4 linked regions of the Arabidopsis thaliana genome follow. The protein of the gene in region 3 interacts with the protein of the main gene of each other region in a biochemical or structural test. Each region holds a gene or a part of one and is shown on either strand. Other genes may lie near its edges.

Region 1 (4,287 bases), on a different chromosome or scaffold from region 3:
TATCTTCACAAGTTCGGTGGTTTCTTAGACTTGTATCATTTTCTGATGATTTTATTAGAAGCGTCAATCATCTTTTGACGATTTTATAGGATACTCGTTTTGGAAAATCATTGTTCTGATGATAGAATAGATCAGGAATCATCTGCTGATGATGATATCATAGGAAAGATTATAATAGTTCACACATTTCATATCTGAAGTGTCATCACTTGTAGACGATTTTGGCTTGTTGTTGACTTTCAATAATTGAGTTGTATATAAGTATTGAATGTTTGGTTTTATTGCTTTGTAACTGTTGACATACGGTGTTTGCCTATCTCTTTCTGCACACTTGATTTCGTAGCTAAATTCCAAGTTCTGTTAAATATTCCAAGCTTTCTATCTCAATCATTGACAAAAAATGTTCCAAGTAGCAAACAATTTACTAACAAGCACTAATACTACTTCAAAAGTCTAAAATCAGTGGAGTATAAATTTTAGAGGAGTAAGATTTTGACTTTCAAGTGTTAAGCGTAGTTTCAAGTTAGAAATATATGTATTTCTAGATTCACAACTAAGATTCGTTACTCTATGGAATGAAGACTTCATATTTCACTTAGTAGAATTTGGACAACACTCATGAACGACCAGAGAACATAATTATGTATTATATAGAAGCAACACCAACTGAATCAGTACCAAGAATATTAACAGTTAAATAGAGAAAGAAGAGTTTTTTTTCGAAAATAAATAGATTCCAGTGTCTTAAGGTGCCAAAATGAGGAGTTTTCAATCACCCAATGACATCTAAACATAATGACACAAGACGAGAAAATATTCAGAGCTTGTCATCAGTTTTGGTGCGTTCTCTTTTTTGAGGTTTTAGACAAGAGCAGGATACTGCTTGGACTGCAGCTTCACCCTTTTCTTGTACTCAACTGGATCCTGCACAATAATCATCAACAATCACTCGACTTAGTTCCTTCCTATGTTTCAAAACCTAATATTGTGTTTAGAGTTTTCATTTCTAAATGTACCTGACAGAAGAGATGATAACCATCTGTCTGTGCAGGGTCAGCGGGATTCGGTGTGTCAAGTAAATCCTGAATACCAACAAGAATCTGCTTCACGGTGATGGCTGGTCTCCATCCCTATGGATATACACATAACAAAAGAGAGCTTGAGGATAAAGCTGGCTTTTGCTCATGGAGAAATGCAAAGAAAGAAACAGTAGAGTACTTACATAATCCTCGTTAAGGATAGAGAGACAGACAGTTCCAGATGGATAGACATTAGGGTGGAAAAACCCTTGTGGAAATTTACATTTCGGAGGTTTGCTCGGATAATCCTCACTGAAGTGCATCGTTAATGGAAAGAATCCACCTTCCCAATCAGTCTGCAGCAGAGAAACATGTAAAATTAGCTATAAACAACAGTAAAGATTGATATTAGCAATTGCTCTTGCAGTAACACTCTTATTAGCCATGTCAAAGTAAGATACACAGCAGAGTTCAGTTTCAATGTCGTATTCAAGACCAAAATCATATGCACCAATAAAAAAACATCATACAAGATAAACAAGGAGATAGATACACAGCTACTCTTCCCACTAACATTCATATTAGATAATCTTCCACGGCTCTATGTGTAAGCAAATATGAGAGAATCATCAAACAGAATCACAAAGAAAAAGAAGGGAAGAGACTGGTGAAGCTTAAAACTTTGAAGAACTAAGAATCAGAAGATGATAAAAACAAAGACTTTAGCCCAAATCAATAAACCCTAATTTCAATCTCTTTTTTGTTGCTACTAATACAAACCAGAAGAAAACAAGCAGAGGAATAAGAAAACTGAAGAAACCTAATTTCACGATTGATACTTACCCCAGCTTTACCAGGTATAGTGCAATGCCACACCATTAGATTCACAGTTCCATCCTGCCCCGTCTCCGGCTTTGCCACAAAACCCTAAATTTCACCATCAACAAGAAGAAACCCAATCAGTAATCAGAGACCATGAACAATCAACAGAAACCCAAAACCCATAAATCAAAATCACGAATTTGGAGAAATAGAAGACACGAAATCACTTACATGAGGATGATTCTTCCTCCACGATTTCCTCTCTTCAGCTAAACGACCACGAGCGATTCCACTAGCCATATCTCTCTCTCTCTCTCTCTTTAGAATCTCACTCTACAATATCTAAATCTCTCTCTTCTGATTTGTCTCGCTCGCTCTCCAATCTCTATCTCTCTATATATAAACTCGAAGAAGACACAAATAGGAGATTGGGGGAAGATGGAATGTGAAGTTACAGATGTACCCCTATGTTAAAGCTTTAGAAGGGTAATCGGAGTATCGTACGGTCCAGATTTCGCGGCGAATAAATGTCCTTTCGTCCTACTTCCTCCACTTTAATGGTTATTGACCGGTCAATTATTAAATTTTAACCAGGTATAATTATTATCTACTATATCATAAAATAAATGAAAAGACGTAATGAAAAAGTCAATGGATAAATGTGGCGTGAAACCTACGCGATGATACCCAAAAAAGCTACCAAAAGATTCTTTCTCTGCCATAACGTATCATCCCATTTGTCACGTGGCCCATTACCATATCTGGGCCCATTTACTTTGTGTTCTTAACTCTTAAGCTTGCTTTAATTATTCCCCTCTTCTTCTTAATGGTTGGTCTTTCTAGAATAAAAGTATCTCACCTGGCAAACATTTGTCAAACAGAATGGTCGGAAAAAAAATAAAATATCAAAGCTTTCAATGAATTTTTGTGTAAGAATGTTATTTAGCGAACATATATTCCCAATATGATAGTTTTTTTGGTTATAACCAACTTTGGATGTATTAGAAAAATGGTTTTTTCTTGAAACTTGTATTTGACCATTAGACCAAACTGTGACAACCTCTAATCTCAACAGCAACCAACCCAATGGCACCAAACTCCTAAAGCTCCAGTGATAAAACACAAAAACCAGAGAGGCATAGATTATGACTTACTAACCAGTGACAAGAACATCAAAACCACACAAGATACTTCTTTACTACTTTCAAACAAAAGTCTTAATAATGTTAAAAGACAGACGGATACATCATCACCATCACCAAGAAAAGAGTCATCATGACATTTTTAACAATGAACAAACTAAAAAGAGTCATCATGATATTTTTAACAAGAACAAACTACAAGTCTTATAGAAGTTTTCTTCGGTATTGGAAGCAGTTTTTGCAGGTCAGAGCATGCAATCAGTTCTTGCAGGAAGCCTTCTGAAGAAATTGAGAGGAACGGATGGTAGTTTGTATCTGAACCTCGGATGTCTCAGAGCATAGATTCCAATACAAAGAGCCACAACCTGGAAAGGTGTCACATAGAGAATGACTGCGGCAATCAAGCAGAACAAGACGAAGAGCGCTGTTGCACGCGGATCACGCCAGCTTAGCAGAGACTGAAGCCTTTCTCCTTGAGTTGCTAGATCACCTACCACTGTCTGAATCCTACCAGCAATACTCCTCAACCTGTCATACCTCATCCTGACTATGTCAGATGGTCGGGAAGTAGGAAAAGTGTCGAACTCTTCATCTAGCTCGTCGGGGTGGGCTGAGTCAGCGTGAGAGAGACGTGTGTCCATGTGAGGAGGATGCCTCGGTCTCCAACGGTAGTACCAGATACCGATGAGGAAGAGGTAGAGGAAGATGGTGGGCAAGATTAGTTCGGGATAGAGCACAAGGATGATGAACAAGAGATGGATCAAGACTGTTGTGATTGGATTCTTCCAGTTGCAGATTTGTTCAAACCATTTTCCTACTGCGATTAACCCACTCAAAACTCCCATAATCCTGAAAAAGTTTGCTTTGCTTCTCCGCATACTCCACATGTGAGAACCCACATCAAGCATATACTCAACTACTTCTTTCCTTAGAGGTGGTTCTGCTCGGGTCAGCCTCATCGATACAATCTGAGTCGCTTGATGCCTCAAGTTATCAAGCTGGCTAACCGTCAGTGGATGGATATAATGCATCTTCGGTAAGAGAGGCTGTGAGTACATATACATCATGTTGAGCAATGAAGAGCAAGTGAATCTCACAGCTAAGTGAATTTCTCCCATTTTCTTGACTCCGTTAGGATGGAGCACCAAAAGAGGGTATGAATGTGTATAAACTCGATCAGTCTCGAGAGTAGAAAGCCTGATTCTTACCTTCCCGATTCTTGAATCTTTTGCTCCTCCAATCTTCTCACCTCCATGGAGATGGCAGTTATCAAAAACTCCAACAGTAACAACGGTGCACGGATC
Region 2 (4,568 bases), on a different chromosome or scaffold from region 3:
GACGGGGGCAATTAGAAGAAGCAATGGAGGCGTTCACAACCGCTCTTGACATAGATCCGATGCACGTCCCAAGCTTAACATCGAAGGCTGAGATACTGCTGGAGGTCGGTAACCGATCAGGCATAGCGGTTGTTAGAAGCTTTCTAATGGAGGCTCTTAGGATTGATAGGCTGAACCACTCGGCTTGGTACAATCTTGGAAAGATGTTCAAAGCTGAAGGGTCCGTCTCGTCGATGCAAGAAGCCGTTGAGTGTTTTCAAGCCGCCGTTACTTTGGAGGAAACAATGCCAGTGGAGCCATTCAGATGATTTTGCCCTCTCAAATCATATTTTTTTTGTCTTTGGTTATGATTTCTCCTTTTCTGATTCTTTTTTTTTGTGTTTGTTTTTGATAGATGAATATAAGAAGATATAAAGATGTATGTGTACGAGTATATCATTTGATGTCAAGTTTATAAACATTTTGTAATACACAGTTAAACAAAAATTAATATAGGTTTTGGTGAGGTAAATTTTATAAGCCAGGTTTACTATTTACTCATAAAAGATTATAAATTTTTCGGAGAAAACTTTTCAGGTTTGATATTCTAAAAAAGATTAACATAAGAAATCTGTAGCTGTAAAACTAATGATGAGTTAAGCATTTAGATTACACTGAATGATGAAGATTCTCCCAAACTAACTTTTTATTTTTGTTTTGTTTCTTCCTTGGGGATCTGTTGTTTGTCTACACAGCTGAGTTGAGAGTCTTCCATCAGAAAAATAGTTAAACAGTAAAGAGAGAAGTCCTGAAGAACCTCAAGATAAGAGCTCGTTCTCTCTATCACTGTTAACTCTGAAACTCCGAGATTATCCAGCAAAAGACCAATACTTTCAATTATCGATTTTGGGACGCTTTGGCTGTGGAGATTCTAGTTCCTCACATTTCCTGGTTTCTTCTTCTGGAACCTCCTTCGAATCAGCAGTCTTCTTGTCTTCTTGTTCAGATTTGGCTGCGGAATCTGATGTTGAGGCTGTCCCTTTGGTAAGACCAGAGTTTTGCTTCTCGAACATCATTTGCAGGTACTTGCCTTGTTCTTCTATTCGGAGTTGCAGGTTTCTTTGAATCTGCAGGCAAAGGAAAAGAACACATGTCATACCCAAATTCAGAATACTTTATAAACAGGTTTCACATTTTCTCTTTAGCAGCTACAATCCAAACACATAAGTATAAAAAACCAAAGCTAATGGCAATGCCTTTATGAACATACCTCGAGCTGCTCATGGAGTTGCTTCTGTACTTCCATCTGAAGTCGTAGAGCCTCTGTAATACCTATCCCACTGCAGTATAAATATGTATGAGGTAAGAATCAGTTAAAAATGGTGTAGCGTGTAGCATTGTGATGTTAACCGACAAGAAAACCTTACCCTTTCAAATCAAGAGATGTTATATGTTCAAGCGGTGTCAACTTCCTTTCTGGCGAACCTGTAGTGATCAAAGAAACTTTAGTTTTTACATTGAATTCTTCAGGTAAAATCATCAACGAAGATGGGAATGAGTTCGGTATTTACCAGTTTCTGATGGTTCTGGCCGATATCTAGCTGTCCTATATTTCTGAAAAACACAATCTAATATTAGAAGACAATTATATGCATTAGCAGGGAACTAAAGAATAGTAAGAACCTGTAAATGGCTTTTAACATGATATATAGTCAAGCCTTCAACTTTCATAATCTTCAGTACCCCTTTAGGAGTAGCTCCTGAGTAAAATATAAAGAAAAAGTTATTATCTTTCCATATACAATTCAAAGTTTATGGAAAGCAAAGAGAAATAAATGCTCACTTTCACTACCGCCAAGACTGTTGACAGCCTCAACAAAAGCCTCGTGAAGCTCTGGCGTCCAACGCATTCGTGCCTTGCCCGTTCCGTTATTGCTGTTTGAAGATGTTGTGCTAACAGGTCGCAATTCCACAGACGGAGAAGGTTGCTGCTGAACAATCTGAGGTTGCGGAATTTGCAGTGTCTTCTGGTCCTAAAAAAGTGTGTCCAGTATTGAACAACTTGAGAATACAGATATCAAATAGAAACAAAGTAAAAACTTGGAACAAGAAACTATAACAACCTTTGAATCTGAATTGGAATTTGTTTCAAGCAAGAGATCATTCCAGTTAGTAGACATCAAAGGATCATCATCAGTGATCAAATGGTCAGCCCATTCATGCCAATCACTTCGTTTTTGAATGTCATCAAAAGCAGCCGCAATGCCACCATCCTCAATCTGACAGTTGTTTTGAATCGCCGGGTTGGTTTCATGGAAGTCAAGAAACCCTCCTGGCAATGAATCATGACACCAAGCACTATCGTTGTTGCTTGGTGTCTGCACAGCATTATTACTGCTGCTTCCTGTGTAGTGTTGTTGTTTCTCATGAGATACCATAGTTGAGTAATGGAGATTGGTTGCAAAACCAGATGATGAAGAAGAACATATATGTCCAACAGCTCCACCGTTACTAGATGAAAGTAAATGGTAGGTTTGTCCTAATGGTCTAGACATTAACTGACTGTTGTTATCTGATCTCATGAAACTATCTTCTACTGGTGAAGGTTTTTGTGTAGATGGGATTGAAGAAGTGCGTGTGAGGTCTCTCGAACCTGATCTATGAACTGGACGAGCCTCCATTGTTGTCCTGCAAGAGAGAATCATTATCCAACCAAACATCAACTTCGCTGGAAAAACAAAACCAAATCGAATCCGAACTATGCTCGAAAGATATAAATTCTCTGTCTCTATCTCTCTGTGGATTACCAAAAGGCAAAGGAGAAGGATCGAAAATTCTCACCTAGAAATTCATGAAGCAATCCAGGACCAAGGAAGACGAATCGAATCGGAGAAAATGATTATGAGGATTCTCCTCTTGGGGATAATCGGAGAATCGTCTTGTCCGCAAGAGAAAAGTTGACGGTGGTGATGATTTTCTTCGCCTTCTTGTTAATTTCGGAGGTGGTGGCTGTCTTAAACAAAGGGATCAGCCGTCGTTTTTTTCACGCTCGGTGAAACAGCGCGTGAGTATGACTCGCTTGTCGGGATCTACGTGGACGTTGTTTATTGGATAATTGGGATCGTGTATTGGGCTTGATCTTTTTCGTTTTTATTTATTAAATTTTTTCTGGTGTCTATATTTTCTGCTCTTTCACTCTCTTAAAAGGCTATATAAAGGCCCAAAGTGGCTTTTTGATTCATAGTTTTACAAAATTCACACCTCCAATTTACTGTTTTGTTGTGTCCATAATTTAGCGTATCTGCCAGATTTCCCCAACAACACTTCGTGTGTCCCTTTTTCCACCACTTTTCCTTTCTCCATTACTAATATCTCATCACATTGCATTGCAGTGGTCAGTCTATGTGCAATGAAAATGCAAGTCCTGTTACTCGCTAGCGACCTCAGCGTTTTCATTATCTCTGCCTCGGTTTTACTGTCGAGTGCACTTGTTGCTTCGTCACACAATAGGATTGCTGGTGATTTCAGAAATGCACGAGCAAGTGCCACCCTCTGTTTCTCTCCACCACTCAGCATCAGCCCTCTTTCTCCCACCGCGGTCGAATATTTATCAGGGAATTTCATGATCGTATCGTGAATCGCTGCTCGTCGAGCTGCATTGTACACCTCTTCCTCTGTTGCTGAAAGGTTTCCATAGTGAATGTTGTGAAATATAGTGTCGTTAAAGAGCACCTGCCATGTGAATTAAGGTTAATGATACGAATATTTATGATTGGTATATATGCCTGATAATGATATTAAATTTGTATATGGAAGTTACTTTGAAGTCATGCAATTTGTAGAAAAGTGACATGTTACATTTTAAACTACCAAAACGTATGAAAAAGGCCATGATATTAAAATAAAGATTTTAGTTACAATTAAGAAGCATTTTGCAGTGTCAATATCATTTCCTTCATGATTTATGTAGTAAACGTGATTGTAATACAAAAGAGTATACAGTACTAATAATCAAACCCCAATCTGTAACCATATGCTAACATACTAAAAACCGGTTTAGACTCATAACAACAAAATGTAAGAGCTAGCAAAATTTATAGTGAAAATGGCAACTTACAGTATCTTGAGGGACAACTCCAATGGAGCTTCTAAGACTCTCTAGTCTCACTTCCTTTATATCCTGACCATCAATTTTTACATTTCCGGAATCTACATCAAAGAACCTGAATATCATTCTAAGAATAGTCGATTTTCCGCTTCCGCTACTACCGACAATCGCCACACTTTTCCCTGCCGGTACCTCAAATGAAATCCCATCTAAAATCTTTCTCTCCGGTAGATAACTAAAATGTACATTCTCAAAACTAATGCTTCCACCTTTCAGAACAAGAGGAGGGAGCTTCCTGTCTATATCTTTATCTCCGATATCAGATCTCTCCTCTAGAAACTTAAACATCGATTTCATGTCGACAAGTCCCTGAACGGTGTCGCTGTAAACAACCCCGAGAAAGTAAAGAGGAAGAGACAGTTGAAAGAGGAGACCATTCACCATCACCAAATCACCAACTGTCATCTGACCATTCATAATC
Region 3 (7,711 bases):
TCTTGTTTAAACTCCGGTGTCTTGTCTGATGATCCTGTTCATTGTTCTGTGCATAGCGTTAAGAATCAAAAGGAACACCGAATCATCCCAAGAGAGACACAACAGAACAGACAAATCAGGAAGAATATTACTCAGAATCCGAGTCAATGGAGAGGTACATCCGAGGTCTTACAGAACGCTTCTGGCGAGGAAATGAAAATGGATTATCTGATCTTTGCTTCTTTGCCTTGTCTTGTCTACTGTCATTCATACCCAGAAGCAACGACGCTGCAAATACGCAGTAATAGTCAGTAAGTATACCACATGGACTATGGACATATATAAAGTAGCATATTCAAAGACAAAATACGCCACATAGAAACTAAAACAGATATTTCTTCTTCAGTTGTTTATAAGACCTAGCTAGCAGCTTAGTAAAGTGATGAAAAAGGTAATGCAACATCAAGAACATGGTCCACATTTTTAGGTCCCTTTGATGTTTTCAGGAAAGCATTAGTCTCAGACAGGGAACAAACCAGTCTCTGTTGTAGTATCCATAGAACCTTCCCTCGTAGACATCTGATGGCTTGAGTTAATCCCGTTTGTAGTTGCAGGATCTCCATGATTCCCAGAGGCGCTATCGCCTAGCCTAAGCGAGATCCAGTCTTCACTACGGAGACCATTTGACATATCAGCTTGGTTTTTAAAACCCGACTGAGCTGAAGCATCTGGTTTTGTTGGCAAAAATATTTGAAGTGAGGGATCGTCTCTACCAAATGCAAGAGGATTGTCAACTAGGCCATCGTTTGCTTCAGATCGGCCAGTAGAGCCAGGAACCACAGGAACAGATGCCATTGATGTCTCAGGAGCCATGGTATAACCTCCATTTATTTCAGGAGAACAGTTTAGTGGACTATGATGATGCAAACCAACTAAACCTCCTGAAACGTCAGCATCAGATCTAAATAGTTGGAACCCAGGGGCTTCTGGAGTTTCAGAAGGAAATGACCAAAGGGGCGTATCAAATTCATCATCATCATTGAAAAGACCTAAGCCTGAACTTCCCCCAGCTATGCTGTGTGGGTCCTCATTATATGAGTTAATTATTCCAGGAGGGTTCAGTGGAAAAGTAAGTCCACCATCTGTTTGACAACCACTGTATGCAGGCCCTGGAGTGATCACTAAATCATTCTCGTCATCAGAATCACTCAGAACGATGACTTCATTATTTCCACCCTCGCCAGATTGGTTTCTGTCAGGAAAGTTATAACCTGAATCAACATTCATGGAAATGGAATCAAGTTCCATGCCGTTGGCTACAAAGTCAAAAGTTCCAATAGCATCCTGGTTTACGCTTGCATCATCACCATCCCTACCACTTCCAGTAGCACTACTACTCATTGGTATAATATTCTTCTCCTGATACCCAACCTTTTCTTGCCTATTACTGGAAGATAATCCATTTGTATTAGGTTTGCTAACTTCCCAAATGCCATTACGATTCTTCCTTATTCCAAGTTTTAGCGGGGCTGGACCATCTGAGTAACCTTCTTGCTTAACCGGTAACATTTCCATCTTCCGTTTAATATCAACAGCAGAGGGGCAAAGGCTACCATCAGGTGCATGCCACTGTGAGAGTTCCCCCAGTTCCCTTCGCTCACTCTCTCTTTTGAACTTTACACGCCAAGAACCATCAGGTTTCACTTCAATTTCAGTCACCTCTTCATCACAATGCTTCATCTGTCGTGCAGGAAGACAACTACTGAATAAAAGCGTAGATACAAAGATTTTAAGAATTCTTGAATTCCCATAAGAATACATACCTTAGACGTGATACGGTTAAAATAAGGATCGACGATTACATGCTCCACTGAGTAGTTCTTCAGACAAATAGGGCACTGCCACTGCATGTTAACAAACCCCAGAACAACTAAAGTCAGAAAACAAGAGACATAACCCAATATCTAGACAAGGATAGTAGACCTACCTTTCTGGAACGTTGATTCAACTCCACAAACACATCAAGGTCAAAACAGCCCATGTGCACACAGGGTAAAAATCTCCCAGCAACTTTTATCCTAGAACCGCTCATCTAATGACGCAAACAGAAAAGACAATAAAAAAAATTCAGTCTGCAAGATAGCCCTAGGAAGAGGATAAGTATAAAAACTGGGCTACGAGCTATTAGTAACTTACAGGACACCGAAGATTGACACCGAAGAAATCAGCAACAACTTCAATGTCACTATCACTGTCGGCATTATCATCTCCACCTCCACCTCCAATGCATCGGCGGACACGTGCAAGAGCATCTTCAAAAGTCTCCCCTTTACCCTCTTCTGGAATCAAATTTAGAACCTAGATGCAAAAATGAGTATATATATAAGCAACTTGGAGATCATTAGATCATTAACGTACAATATGAATTCCTCTGTATACAAGAACACCAACAAAAGTGATAAATATATTGATTAAAGGGATAAATGTTGCAGCACAAGGACAGACTACACTTCCGTAACCAAATCTCATACAAGGCCAGGCTCAGTGGCTCATATACGTGAAATATAGGAAGAAGAATAGGACTGTGAAATTTGAAATCTGACTAACTTTTCTAGATTTAGTGGGAGTGGGAAATAACATGGGAATAGTTTAACGTAAGTGTGTAACCACAGGTAACTTCCACAAAATTACTTTCTTGGGTACGCCAACATAATTTATTCTTTCTTTTTGTATTCAGAATATTAATTTCGTTCCTTTTTGAACATTTATGTTTGGACTCTTCATTGACCACATATACGACCAAATCTTTGAATGTTTCTTATGCATATATGTTATCAGTACCTGTTGTAGAGTCCTGCGCTTCACAAGTCTGACCCCAAAACAAAAAATCCGAACGTCACCTCCACTCAAGGATATTCTGTTAACTCCATCCCTAATACAAGATGTAATCTGCCAAAATAGTAAAATGAAATGGTTAAAACTTACATCACTGATTGCTAGATTTTCAATGTATGAGAGATTGACTCCTATATGTAATTCAAAAGGGTTACTACTCAAAAGGGATGATAAAAAACACACAATGGGTCCATCGTCGCGGCCGTTGACTCCCAAAAGCTGTCCTCCAGGTCGATTAATTGCACGTACAGGCACACCTATGAAATGATAGGGTATATATCATGAATCCCACATCAGAAACATACACAGTCTTATTGAGTATGATCAGAATAACAGACAAATAAAGACAATGTGAATGTGAATGGAATGTGCCCACAGGAATTTATGCAACATGAAATAAAACAACATTCCCCTGTTTCAAAGGAAATGCTCAACCGACTAAAACTCTGGTCGATGTCATTGTCATACCATTGACCTGCAGATCAGCATACTGAGGCCACTGCATCCTAAAGAGAACTTTATCATTCAAGAGCATACACCAAGCCTAAACAAAATTGATTTCCAGTTAGAAACGTATAGGTAGATACACCTTGACATATTAAATGTAGTTTACAAAACCCAACCTGAACATCGTACTCTGGTTTGGCCAAAAGGTCCTTGTCTGCCCTTGTGATTTGAAATGTTCTCTCCACACTCTGCATTGTGCTTGCACTGAAAAGTTTTGGATCGGAGTATTAGTACAAACAAAAGCCAGTAACAGTATTTCTTCAGCAGGTGCTATGCATATAGCCAGGAAACAATTGTCATTCTTGAAACTAGAATGAATGTCTTATACCAGTTCCAAGTAGAAAATTTAAAGTCAAAGTGACTTATAAAGTACCAATTCACACAATAATGGCACTGAAAGTACACTCGTTCAAAGCAATAGCAATATCAAGAATATAAAATTCTTACCCATCATTTGGGATAGTCGTTGCAGTCAGCCTCACTGGAGAGAGTGGATGTGCCACTGTAACCCAAAATCTGAACAAGGAAACCATGTAGGAAAACCGTGAATAATCATGCTATAGGATATCCACAGGTGCTAATGTAAAGATAGGAAATAATATATAAAAGAAAATTGACAACTATGAAAACAGTACTAGAAGAAGAAGAACAATCAAACGCAAAGAAACTAGAATGCAAAGCATGTCAAATGTATAAATATGTCTTTCTTTTCAGTTATGGCAGGAAAGAATCATAAAGCAGTGAGGGAGGAACTCAGATGGAAAATCAATCACATATCAAACTTAAACTCAGACAGGAAAAGTAAAATCCTTGAAACACATACGGGTCAGCTCGAGTAAGTCGGCAGATTTCACAATAAAATGATTCCGGAAGTGGTGGATTCCCATCCATAGGCTTATCTGGGAGAATAACACAGCCAACATGCTGCCAAACATGGCATCTTGGATCCTCACACTGAAATCGGAAGAAAAAAAACAAAAATTACAGCCAGAAAGTATCACCAAACTTCACAAATGTAATCAATGATAAATACATCACACCATCGACCATAAAATACAAAGAAATTGTCTACAGTCAGCTCAAACAGGAATAAACGCAGTGAGTTCATCCCAGATTACCTGTATCATTGAGTCTGTTTCTAGCGAGTTTCCACAAACACATCGAACTTTAATTTCTGGTTGGAAGGGGTCTTCAGGCTCTCCCTTAACTTTCAGATTACTGGTATCTGAACTCACTTGTCCTTTTGATGCTAAATCACTTGCCCCAGATACTTGCATTTTCCTATGGAACACAATATAAAATTAATGGTAACAAAGAACCGCCACAAAAAGCATGGCATCTCCTAAGAAATCTATTGAAAGAAACGAGCACTCACCTATATGTATCGTCCACTAATTTGGCAACTGCTTCCTTTGCCACTGTATTCTTTTTAGACAACAACCTGGCAGCTGTCAGTAGGGAATGAAAACGGAAGCTTATTAGAAGAAGATGGCAGAGCTAGCAGTGACTCTTAATACACCAAAACGTGAATAAACAAAAGCAAGTGGTTCATATAACCTTGTTCATCAGAAAGAAGGGTCAAGATCCGGTCGACAAGTTCCTGCACAAGAAAATTTCAAAAAGAAGTTAAATTTTTTGGTGAAAGAATAAAACAGATAACACTCTTTGCAAGGTAATGTCTTAGATTTATCTTGGAAACTGCTATATAGCTCAAGACAGCAATAATTATCACCCAAAACATCATCTTCTCTACTATAATCATTCCAAAACAATCACAAACATAATCACGACCAATGGAAGATTAGAGAACGATACTAACCTGCTTCTTTCCCTGTTTCGAAAGTCCCAGCTGAGTGAGCACATCCTTGAGCTCTTTTATCCGAAAATATGAAAGTTTTTCCTGCAACCCACAACAAAAACACAACGTTAAGCTTAACTAGAGCAAGACTAAATTCAATAACAGCAACCACGAACCATAATCCAAAACCCTTATGAGATAAAGGATCGTTTTTTACTCCCAGCAATACAATCTAGATCATAAACAAAACGGAAAAGCAAAGCTTTTTTGAAACATCCACTCTATATACCAATCAACACATTCATAACAAGTTCAAATCAACAAAAATTATAAACCAACAAGCATCCATAGATCTTTCAGACAATAATACCTTACAATTAGCTTCCAAATCCATGTCTTCAACACCAGACACAAACAAGAACCAAAAGCTCAGTTCAAAACACACGAACCTAAACTCCAGCAATTAGTCTCCATACAGCAACCGATCTAAATTAACAGAAAAAAAAGAAGGAGTTACTGAAACGAAAACCCTTGAAATTCCAAAAGACAAGACCTTTAAAGACTATTAAACGGAAAATACAAACCATGAAATCGGATACTTGATCAAACCCTATCGAAATTGATAGGTTAATGAGAGAATTGAGATGATTAGAAACTAGGGTTTTCACAGCTACGATAAGATTTTCTTTGGCCAAGGAAGAGGAAAATAAAAAGACAACCAAACCCAGACGAAGAAAAATCGATCCGCCGAGACGAAAACAAAACAAGGGTTGCCGGACGAGTCGCCGATTATCAAATCCGGTTTAATTTTCGCGCAATACGTCCGGGTTTAGTTCCTGTGTGGTCACGTGCACGGTCGTCCCCCCCACCAATATTGACGTGTTTTTGACTTTCGGTTCTCACACCACTTATTTACGACCGTAACGGAGTCTTTGTTATTTTAATCGAATATTCCCCACGTTTTATGACATCAGCCGTTCGATCAGACCGGACCGGTTTGTTATATTTTAACCTCAATTTGTTTATTTGCCGGTTTATAGTATATATCAAATCAATTTGGAAGTTTATCATCCGAAAACATGGTTTTCCATATGTCTCTCATGGCATATGTAGATATTGTATTATTTGATTCTAATTCTTCTAAGTAAGAATTTGGAAACATATTTCATGTCTCTTTTCTTCATTTGTTTTCATTGAATTGACATAGAATGTACATTGAATTGACATTTCTCACCCTCGCTAAATTCATTGAGAATTGTGGCTCAATTCTTCCATATGTGCATTATAGTTAAACTACGAATAAAGGATACAAGTGAGCAAAACCCTACTTTCAAGTTTCAACTAGTAAATCTATCGAATGGATTGCTAGACCGGATAATTCATACTCATTACGGGATGGTTCGTAAAACATGTGGGAAATTATCTTATATATCCACCAAATATTTGAGGTCTCGTAAGCATGTGATCTTGCAAATTGATACGTGGACCAAATTAGATATTGGACACATTTATATGTTCTTTCTATATGTAAAAAGCTTCATTCCGTGTGGAGTTCATTTGTTACAAGAAATGAGATATTATAGATATCAAATAGCATGAAGCTCTTTCTTCAACACTATTTCTACATACAAAAAAAAACATTATATACCAATTAGTGGTGGACTTCTGGTGATAAGATTTGGCTTTTTATCTTTTTGGATGCTGTGTTTTGAACAATGACTTGTCGAGTTTGAACCAAATTTGGTGTTAACCCGAGATATTAAAAAAAGGTTTAATTAGACCTATAGATTTTCCTTGTTCTGCTTAATGAAGATTCTAGAGTAGTCGTGAGCTGGTCTCATTGACTTGATATTTTTTTTGCTTCTAATGGAATGAGATATCTTGAGTTCATGATGTGGATAGTTTTCAAAGATTTGTCAACCTTTTCGTCTTAACATTTTTATATGTCCCTTGTCAAAGGCAAAGAAACATATCGAAAGTAAAAGAAAAGACATTTTTTTCTTGTGGGTGAGAATCAAACCAAACTTGTGAGAATTCTGCAAACGTACACAACTCTTAAATTGATAAAGCTTTTCTTGAAACTTTCAGGCTGAGGATGTGCTGCTAATCATGTGAGCTCCTTGCTGAGCTAACATTCAAAAGACCAAAACATATTTGAGCAAATAGCAAGAACCTATCTTGGAACAGATTATCATTTTAGGTAAGAGAAGACGATCTAGAGGCTCAAACCAAGGTCCTCTACGGAGCAGTTTCATTGTTTTTATGGTGTTACTATGTAAGTAGAAAGAGAATAGTTTATGAATATTAAGATGCATCTTTGTTAGAGGGTGATTATTGAACAACTGAAATACCTTGATCTCTCCGTATTAAGATGCATATATAAGGATTGCTACGTAGGAGAGATACCGTCACCACTAGTTAACTTCTTAGAAGAGGTGATGGCGCTATCTCTCCTGCGAAGCAAATCTTTATTTGCAGTTTTAAAACCATAGAAGAAGCAAGACCACTTGTATGTGTAATCACTCTATTAGT
Region 4 (7,790 bases), about 21 Mb from region 3:
AACACAAGTTTTTGACAGAAGTGAAGAACACATACACTCAAGATCTCGATGCAATTCTCACACGAATAAGGTACAAAGTTCATCAACCTTTTGTCTTAAAACAGATAGTATTGACTTAGTTCCGTCTACTTAAGTATCACACACAAAGTCTCTTGGCCAAAGAGAGAGTATTAAGATATACAAACGCTCGCCCTTATCAGCGGAATAATTACATATCTTATTTTTTTTTTCTTCATAATTATATATGTTTTGGATTTTGATTTCAACCGCCGATTTAAGGTGGCTAATTAAGTAGTGGGAGAGTCACCGGAAGATTGTCGGAGATTTGTCCAGCAGGTGACATCTCCATCTCAGCTTCTGCTCCCACATGATGATTATTCTCCATCTGTACGATAATCATAGGTCAAAATCACTATTCACTTTCTCTTTTTGTCTTCTATCCAAGGAATATCTTTTTCACACCACCAAATAACAACCATTAAAAAACACTACAGAAGGTTATGTTTCTCATAATTTGTGTGTTCTTTATGTTTAAGCTTTTAAGTTTGGAAGCAGTATCTATAATCTTTTACCAGTTTATAATTTATAATCTAACCTATATATAGCATGTAAAAGTAGCACTACTTCTAGACACTTGGAGTTGGAACTGAGCCACTCGGATCCAAACCTAACCATAACAAAAAAAACAAAAAAAAAAAAACTAATCGGTCCATAAACTTTTTTTTTTGGTTAAAAGGTGATTAACTTAAATATAGACAACGTTTACACAACCTTCAAGGAAACCAATATTGAACTAAACTAGACTGAACCAGACCATAACCTGAAAGAGAATCAAGAAATCTTATTGAATCTCTACCAAACCCAGACTTAACCAGACTATAAAAGGTTCATAAATCTCCAAATGAACCAAAACCTAATTAAACACTTTAACATGAAAAAAACGAAGAAGAAGAACCAAAACCTAGTTATGTCCAACAACCGGAATTTTTTTTTCTTAATTTAGTAAAATGATATAGCAATCATGTAATTTATACTCGATAAAAAATAAAAAAATAACTTCATCTGATTTCCCTTAACTCTAACCAGCCGTTATCAAAATTCTGTTCTTATTCAGTAATAATCTCACTAACCCTAATAAACCAAACTACCAACAACCAAAATGCCCTAATCTTGAGAAGAATTGTCTAGAATACAACTATACAAGACAGGAAAGTGCTAACTAGTGAATGATTGAAATGCACTGACTATATATATATATATATATATCTGCAAGCATAAGAGTGTGTATCTATGTCCATGTACATGGACATTGGACACACAACACGCAGTGCTTATTAGTTATGCATATATATTTTTAGGAAATGTAGCTTTCGTTACCTGGCTAGCCAAAACCTGGTTCTCTTCTTTCAGCATTTTCTCCTGATTTAAAGATCAAAATGTTCAGCAATTACCGATCAAGTTTCTAAACCTAACAACTTCAGAATTTGGAATCCAAAACATATGAAGAAAGTTGCAAATATGTGTGCAAGCTCGTTAAGCAGACTTAAAGTAACAGAGACAACACAGAAGAGGATATATCTGATGTACAATAAAATTGGTAGCAAATATCTGACCTTTTCTTTAAGATTCTCAACAAGCTTCAACATGAGTTCGGTCTGCAACAAACAAAAGCAGCACGGTTGTTCTCAGCAAACAAAATTCAGAAAGGAGTAGACATTACGAAATCAACTTACCTTCTTGGCTCTAGTCACGGAGAGGGCAGTCTCAAGGTGTTCCTCCAGTTGAACAAGAGCATCGATACTCACATTTTTGACATTTGATCCCACAAGCTTGCTGCATATATTCATAGTTTGACAAAAAAAAAACTAATTCCTTTGTAATCAAAGGTGGAGAGCAAATATAGTCTTAGTTAGTAGTACTAACCTATCCACAAGTTCAAGTAGCTCATAGTGTGAACCATAGTTCAGAGCTTTTGACTGATGATCCTGCCCATGAAAAAGGGACAGAAGAAGCGGTAAAAGACAAGGGCTATGAAAATTGCGGTATGCATAATGCATGTGGAGCCACCACCTCATTTTATATTTAGGATCACTCGGCAAACTAATAGTAAATTTACGCCTTATAAAACTCCATCAGGGAAAAGATTCAAAATGTTTGTATTACCAAGGCTTTAAGATCATCAGCATGCTGTTTCCCATATCGATCAAGGATCTTGACCAGGCTGGAGAGATGACAAAAAAAATAAAAATATGTTAGGATCAAAACTACTAGCTAACCCTTGAAAAGGCCACTGGAAACTATGAAACATTGAGAGAACACCTTACCTTTTACATATATATAACACGCTAGTATTCGTAACATTTCAGAAAAACAATAATCTTAATATTCATGTTTAAGCAGTAGCACATCTGAATTTCCACTTTTTCAAAAAAGTTTTAACTTGTTCTTAGCTTTGTAAGCAATATTTAATAATATCTGATATTTTTTTTCTCTCTCAAGAAAAGAAAAGAACCAAAACATTTACCAAAAATTGCTCAAAGATTAGTTATCCAATGAATTATGTGGGCTAACATGTATTTATTATATATTTCGGCAGATTGAAAATGACATTTTCCCTCAAAGAAAAGTCATACAAAGGCATACAGATAAAGTTTAGTGATAGCGCTGGCTTTGATTAACTTAAAGTCAAACTAGTTAAGGTACATAAGAACCCTAAACATAAGCCTCTACTGTCCAGATTGTTTCTATGCATTTATGTTTGTGAATCTATGTTGAAATAATTGATGCAATATAAAATGTAAACGCAGCCCCAATCTTAAATGCAAACAAGCAATTTTTATTTTTCCAGAAATCATATATACTCATGAATGTATATACACACATATATTGATGAGCCACAATGTGATGACATGGAAGTAAACCGAAGTAAAATTCCAAGTACACAGACTGAGTCTAGAAAGTCATATTTCTCTTAATTTTCTGAAATTAACTGAAAGACTTCCCTAACAATAGCAAATAGTGGAAGACTGCTTCCAATTCATTTGCAAATTAACTTATATAATTCTAATTGCAACCTCTATCAGAGATTCAGAGCTTCCATTTTGGTTTTGATCCATACCACAACTTTTAGCATCAAAAAACACCTATATCCTTTACAAAGCGTGTTATCAAAACCATTATAAGAACAAAACCTATTTACCCTCTATTTTCTATCATGTTTACCCTTATAACATTTGATCAGGACTACGAACAATGGTATCAAATTATTAGTTACCTCTTTTCTTTTTGTATCCCAGTTTTAAAAAGAATTTTTTAAAAACGCCTCTTTCATGAGTTCATTAGTAATCTCGTGTCAAAATTGGTAACATCAGCTCTTTGTTTGTAAGTAATACCATATCAACATATACGAGAAAACTTTTCGGATTTTTCAATGAACCTTGAGGACAAGGTTTTTTCCAGCGATAGAGCTAGTATTGATGACCCATAAGATGATAATGATGATGTGGCGGTAACCAGATAACCATAAGTATGAGGAAGCCAAACTCCAAATACATGGACCGAGTCTTAGACAAAACTCATATTTCTATTGTATATGTTTTTTTTGCAAATATCAAAAGACTCCTAAGAATAGGAAGCCGGTCTTCCATTTTGTTATTTCACATTCAATTACTTACTCGTTTATAGAAACTGTGAGGTTCCAATTTCCTATATTTAAACCCCAAATTAATCAAGCAATAAAAGTAAAGAGTTTTCTGCCCTTGAAGTTACACTAACTAATATTAGTAGGAAACTTATCACACATATCTATAAATATATCTTCCATAGAAGGAAGCGACTAAGACAGATAAAAACTAAACTACATATTGACCTAGAAGATCCAACAATTTTGACAAAACTTCACTTAATTTGTTTTGTTAATAGATATCAGTCCTATTGTGAAGTTAAGCTCTTTGCATCAACCTAAGTATGCAAAAAGAGTAACTGAGTAACTAAGGGTTCCACGTTCTAAAAGGCTTCTTCTTTATTAAATCATAATTAAGACCAGGAGTTCTAGTCAGGTGTCTCGACAATTCCAAGGCTGGACCTAACTAGGGGTGAACAAATCCTAACAAAGTATGCATCAAGTGAGAATCGGCCAGCGATCTTGACCAACATGGCCAAACTACTACAACCATTTGGTTATTATATTGGAGGGTTGTAGTAGACACTACACCAGATTCAATTTTGACAACTTATATATAGGATTATATTGATTCATTATAGATCCGTACCAAAGAGGTTGGTATTTCTTACATGAAGACAAGTGTTGTGGGATTTTCAATTTCCTAGAGGCACCAAAGAAACAAGGCTGTGTGAATGACAATTTCCATGACAAAAGACACAAGATACAAAGGTTGTGTGACAAAAGACACAAGATACAAAGGTTGTGTGATTGTCGATTTTCACAACAAAAGATTGAGGTTGTGGATTGTCAATTTTAACGAATAGGAACAAAGTCATAAATGAACACAACGATGATAAGATTAAGGGCGATAATTGATATACAATCACATAAATATGAGGCAAATCTATGTGTGTAACTGCAAGAGTGGGAAACTATAAACCTTTGGACAATCTTTAAATAGCATATCCCATAAAAAGGAGAGAAATTCGTTAAAAATATTATGTATATATTACCAATTCATCTTTTAGTCATAGTTTCCCAATTAATGTGGCTTACATTTAAAACCAAACTTCTTGATCCTTTTTACCATTAACCTCATACTAATTTTATTTATAAATCTCCCGGACGTGCATATACAAATCCAAGAGAACAATGAAATTTAATTAGTCTAAAATTAGACCAGTTTATGTACAGCAAAAGGTGTTATATATATAGCACACGACGATTGTGATTCAAAGAATCGCAATCGATAACCAGATTATGTTACTGAAGTAGCATATGTGCGGTAAGTACTAATTGTGAGGCTGAGTTTTTTGAAGCTACCAAAATTCAAAACTACTGTGTATGAAAAATATGAATCAATTAAAAACACTAATTTGGATAATCACCAAGTAATAGGTCCACAGCAAAGATAGGAATTCATAGAAGATTAACAATAGTCTTATATAGTCAATAGCTGCACAATGTGGTATATATACATTGTTCAGCATTAACCCCATAGCAACTCTATAGATCTCCCGTAAGTGCATTGCATACAAATCCGAGAGATCCAATGAATTTTAATCACTCTGAAAAGAGACATTAATCATTAGTCTTGTGATATATAATTAACTCTTCAAAAACTTAAGGAATCTCTAAAGGTAAGAAACAATCAAAGATGGCTTGAAACTTCACTCAACAACATCGAGCACGCATCAGATCGTATCAAACAAATCGTGAATGACATGCAATTTTTTTCCAAGGAAATAATGAAATCCATGCAGAATTTTTTTTTTTAAGAAATAGAGAGAGAAATGAACAAAAGTAAGAAGCTAAAAAGCTTCTTCACGACATTGTTCTTCCTTAAATTTGGTTATCTCATGTATCTATCATGGTCGCAGAAAAAAACACAAACAAACACAGAACCGAGAAACAACAAGAGATCCGCCGGAAAAAAACCAAACGGTATATTAATTGTTTTTTTATTTTTATTTTCTCAGAAAAGTAAAAGAGCACAAAACAGAAGATAAAAGGGGGAACAAATGAAAACCCAGGTAAGGAAAAGGCGTACTTATCGCCGGAGGAGAAGCTGTAGAGCTTGCCGGAGGCGGAGACGACGAGAAGAGCGACGGATGCGTCACAGAGAACAGAAAGCTGACGAGCTTTCTCGATGAGACCGTTGCGACGTTTGGAGAAGGTGACTTGTCGGCTACTTTTGTTCTCAATTCGCTTGATTTCTAGTTTTTTTCTTCCCATGGCTTCTCTCCGAGAGGGCTTTGTGCCCTAATTTGATCCTCAGGTTTGGGTTCAAGTCGCCGGAGATACTAAGCGTTTTCTCTTTCTATTTTTTTTTTTCCTTTTCTCGCTTTATTTCTTTCTATTTTTTGTGCCTATCTACTTTTTCTTCGTCGGGCCAGATATTTTTTTTTTTTTGGGGGTAAACGAGAGTGATGCAAAAAAACCAAATATGTGAATAAAAACGTTGTGTTTTGAAGACAAGATTGCCACGTGTACCGCATGACGAGCGTCTTTGCTACTTTTGCATTGCCTTAGTTTTCACTTTCGTTGCTAAATGAAAACTATCTTTCCTCCCCTACGATACGGATTGAACTATTGCAGAAAGAACCTCCACTCTACATCATCTTTGAACTATGTAGACATATCGAAACCTAAAACTGGTTTGAACTCTTCCGACTTCTCAAAACTTAAAATTTGGCAGTTAATTAGTAGGTGTTACCAAAGTCGTGCCTACATAGTAAAAACAAAGAACCACTCGCCTACGTCATCAAATTTTATAAAAAAAAATGTGTTTTTCAGATAGTATTGAAATAATAATGTTCGGGAGATTAACACAAATAATAAAGGAAAGTAGTAAATATATTGTGGAAATATATAAGATTTCTAAAATACAAGAAATCTTAAATGTCCACACATATGGCAATAGCTCAAAGTTACTAATTCTTTTTTGCTTGTATCAGCTTGTTTTTTTTTTGGTGAAATGCTTGTATCAGCTTGTTTTCCTTTTATATCTCATTAATTATTTTTTACCAATTTCTTCTTTATCTAATTTTATTATTATATATTTTTACATGATTAGATACCACATTCTGAATATCACTATCATTATATTAATTTTATTAATTACTAAAACTATATTTTGTTTTGCTAATAATTATATAGATTATACCGTTTGAATGGTAACACAATAAACGATACTAATACAAATTACTATATGTAATAGATTACATATGATTAATCTAATTACTATAATTTTTCTTGTTTTGTAATATTTTGTTAAAAAATGTTATATTAGACACTTGAAAGGTGAGGCTATATCGAGTAACAAGACGAAAAGAAGTGGGTGAAACTGATTACAAATTTTGTAACGATATTGGTGATTGGTATTAACTTTTTTAATGGAGCCACACAAACATTTCACTAACACTCGGAGTGGGTGAAACTGATTACTGATTTTGTAACGATATTGATGATTCATGATTGGTATTAACTTTTCTATTGGAGCCACACAAACATTTCAGTAACACTCGGAGCTGTGCCAAGAAGTTTTGATGCTATAAGCAAAAAATATAATTTAATATTGAAATCATATATAATCAACAAAATTTTAATAACTTATATTAATGTTAAAATTTTTGATGAGAACAAGCTCTAGTTCATTGTATAATGCACCTTTTTATTAATTTGGCAAGACACGAGTTAAGACTTTACATAAACAAACACACATAAGGAAGTCAGTCATTTGTTCTTTGATCTTTATTCTAAATTTAACCCAAATCTTTGGCTACCATCGTATCTAGACCATTACATATCTAATGTTTTGAACTAAGGTTATTTTACTCAACTCGCATACAATTTCATTGGACCAAACCAAACCTACAAAGACTTTCAATTGGATTGTATTTACCACAAAAGTGTACTTATAAGCATTAGGTTGTTCCCTCCAAACCAATTTGAGTTTATTTTTAACATTGCCGCATTGTAGCTACATGTCTACACTGTTGGTGTATAGTATTCACATAATTTGCATTCCTTTGCTCGTTTCTTACTCGCTATCAGGGGCGGACTCACGTTAGTCATGGGTAGGGCATGTGCCCTATACTGAATTCAATAAATATTATATAAGTTA

Evidence for each region.
Region 1: of the proteins of SIZ1 (region 3) and SCE1, one has a biochemical effect on the other in vitro, tested with the Arabidopsis thaliana proteins (one study listed by BioGRID).
Region 2: of the proteins of SIZ1 (region 3) and PHR1, one has a biochemical effect on the other in vitro, tested with the Arabidopsis thaliana proteins (one study listed by BioGRID).
Region 4: the proteins of SIZ1 (region 3) and FLC form a complex in vitro, tested with the Arabidopsis thaliana proteins (one study listed by BioGRID).

Annotation. Positions count from the first base shown.
Region 1 is NC_003074.8:21,427,970-21,432,256, forward strand, and holds SCE1 (sumo conjugation enzyme 1), read right to left. Parts: upstream 2,430-4,287; 5' UTR 2,142-2,429; coding exon 2,073-2,141; intron 1,947-2,072; coding exon 1,863-1,946; intron 1,376-1,862; coding exon 1,223-1,375; intron 1,131-1,222; coding exon 1,017-1,130; intron 925-1,016; coding exon 862-924; 3' UTR 527-861; downstream 1-526. Other genes in the region: AT3G57880 (Calcium-dependent lipid-binding (CaLB domain) plant phosphoribosyltransferase family protein), read right to left, coding at 3,229-4,287. UniProt on the Arabidopsis thaliana protein: SUMO-conjugating enzyme that accepts the SUMO proteins from the E1 SUMO-activating heterodimer SAE1/SAE2 and catalyzes its covalent attachment to other proteins with the E3 SUMO ligases SIZ1 and MMS21.
Region 2 is NC_003075.7:14,132,292-14,136,859, forward strand, and holds PHR1 (phosphate starvation response 1), read right to left. Parts: upstream 3,002-4,568; 5' UTR 2,821-3,001; intron 2,668-2,820; 5' UTR 2,661-2,667; coding exon 2,103-2,660; intron 2,013-2,102; coding exon 1,823-2,012; intron 1,740-1,822; coding exon 1,663-1,739; intron 1,594-1,662; coding exon 1,551-1,593; intron 1,465-1,550; coding exon 1,407-1,464; intron 1,320-1,406; coding exon 1,250-1,319; intron 1,107-1,249; coding exon 873-1,106; 3' UTR 520-872; downstream 1-519. Other genes in the region: NPGR2 (no pollen germination related 2), read left to right, coding at 1-308; ABCB24 (ABC transporter of the mitochondrion 2), read right to left, coding at 3,235-3,711, 4,097-4,568. UniProt on the Arabidopsis thaliana protein: Transcription factor involved in phosphate starvation signaling. Binds as a dimer to P1BS, an imperfect palindromic sequence 5'-GNATATNC-3', to promote the expression of inorganic phosphate (Pi) starvation-responsive genes.
Region 3 is NC_003076.8:24,293,088-24,300,798, reverse strand, and holds the start of SIZ1 (DNA-binding protein with MIZ/SP-RING zinc finger, PHD-finger and SAP domain-containing protein), read right to left. Parts: upstream 6,039-7,711; 5' UTR 5,764-6,038; intron 5,666-5,763; 5' UTR 5,574-5,665; coding exon 5,550-5,573; intron 5,282-5,549; coding exon 5,201-5,281; intron 4,982-5,200; coding exon 4,939-4,981; intron 4,830-4,938; coding exon 4,757-4,829; intron 4,663-4,756; coding exon 4,500-4,662; intron 4,336-4,499; coding exon 4,205-4,335; intron 3,898-4,204; coding exon 3,829-3,897; intron 3,586-3,828; coding exon 3,498-3,585; intron 3,419-3,497; coding exon 3,343-3,418; intron 3,132-3,342; coding exon 3,058-3,131; intron 2,929-3,057; coding exon 2,821-2,928; intron 2,338-2,820; coding exon 2,176-2,337; intron 2,072-2,175; coding exon 1,967-2,071; intron 1,884-1,966; coding exon 1,803-1,883; intron 1,720-1,802; coding exon 516-1,719; coding exon of another isoform or gene 499-515; exon of another isoform or gene 268-498; coding exon 132-267; coding exon of another isoform or gene 128-131; exon of another isoform or gene 47-127; coding exon 7-46; coding exon of another isoform or gene 1-6. UniProt on the Arabidopsis thaliana protein: E3 SUMO protein ligase involved in regulation processes. Mediates SUMO/ attachment to PHR1, a MYB transcriptional activator controlling the phosphate deficiency responses.
Region 4 is NC_003076.8:3,173,441-3,181,230, forward strand, and holds the start of FLC (K-box region and MADS-box transcription factor family protein), read right to left. Parts: upstream 6,009-7,790; 5' UTR 5,900-6,008; coding exon 5,715-5,899; exon of another isoform or gene 5,644-5,714; intron 5,609-5,643; exon of another isoform or gene 5,545-5,608; intron 5,457-5,544; exon of another isoform or gene 5,444-5,456; intron 2,222-5,443; coding exon 2,164-2,221; intron 1,986-2,163; coding exon 1,924-1,985; intron 1,834-1,923; coding exon 1,734-1,833; intron 1,656-1,733; coding exon 1,614-1,655; intron 1,420-1,613; coding exon 1,378-1,419; intron 668-1,377; coding exon of another isoform or gene 596-667; intron 558-595; exon of another isoform or gene 452-557; coding exon of another isoform or gene 437-451; exon of another isoform or gene 386-436; coding exon 284-385; 3' UTR 1-283. UniProt on the Arabidopsis thaliana protein: Putative transcription factor that seems to play a central role in the regulation of flowering time in the late-flowering phenotype by interacting with 'FRIGIDA', the autonomous and the vernalization flowering pathways.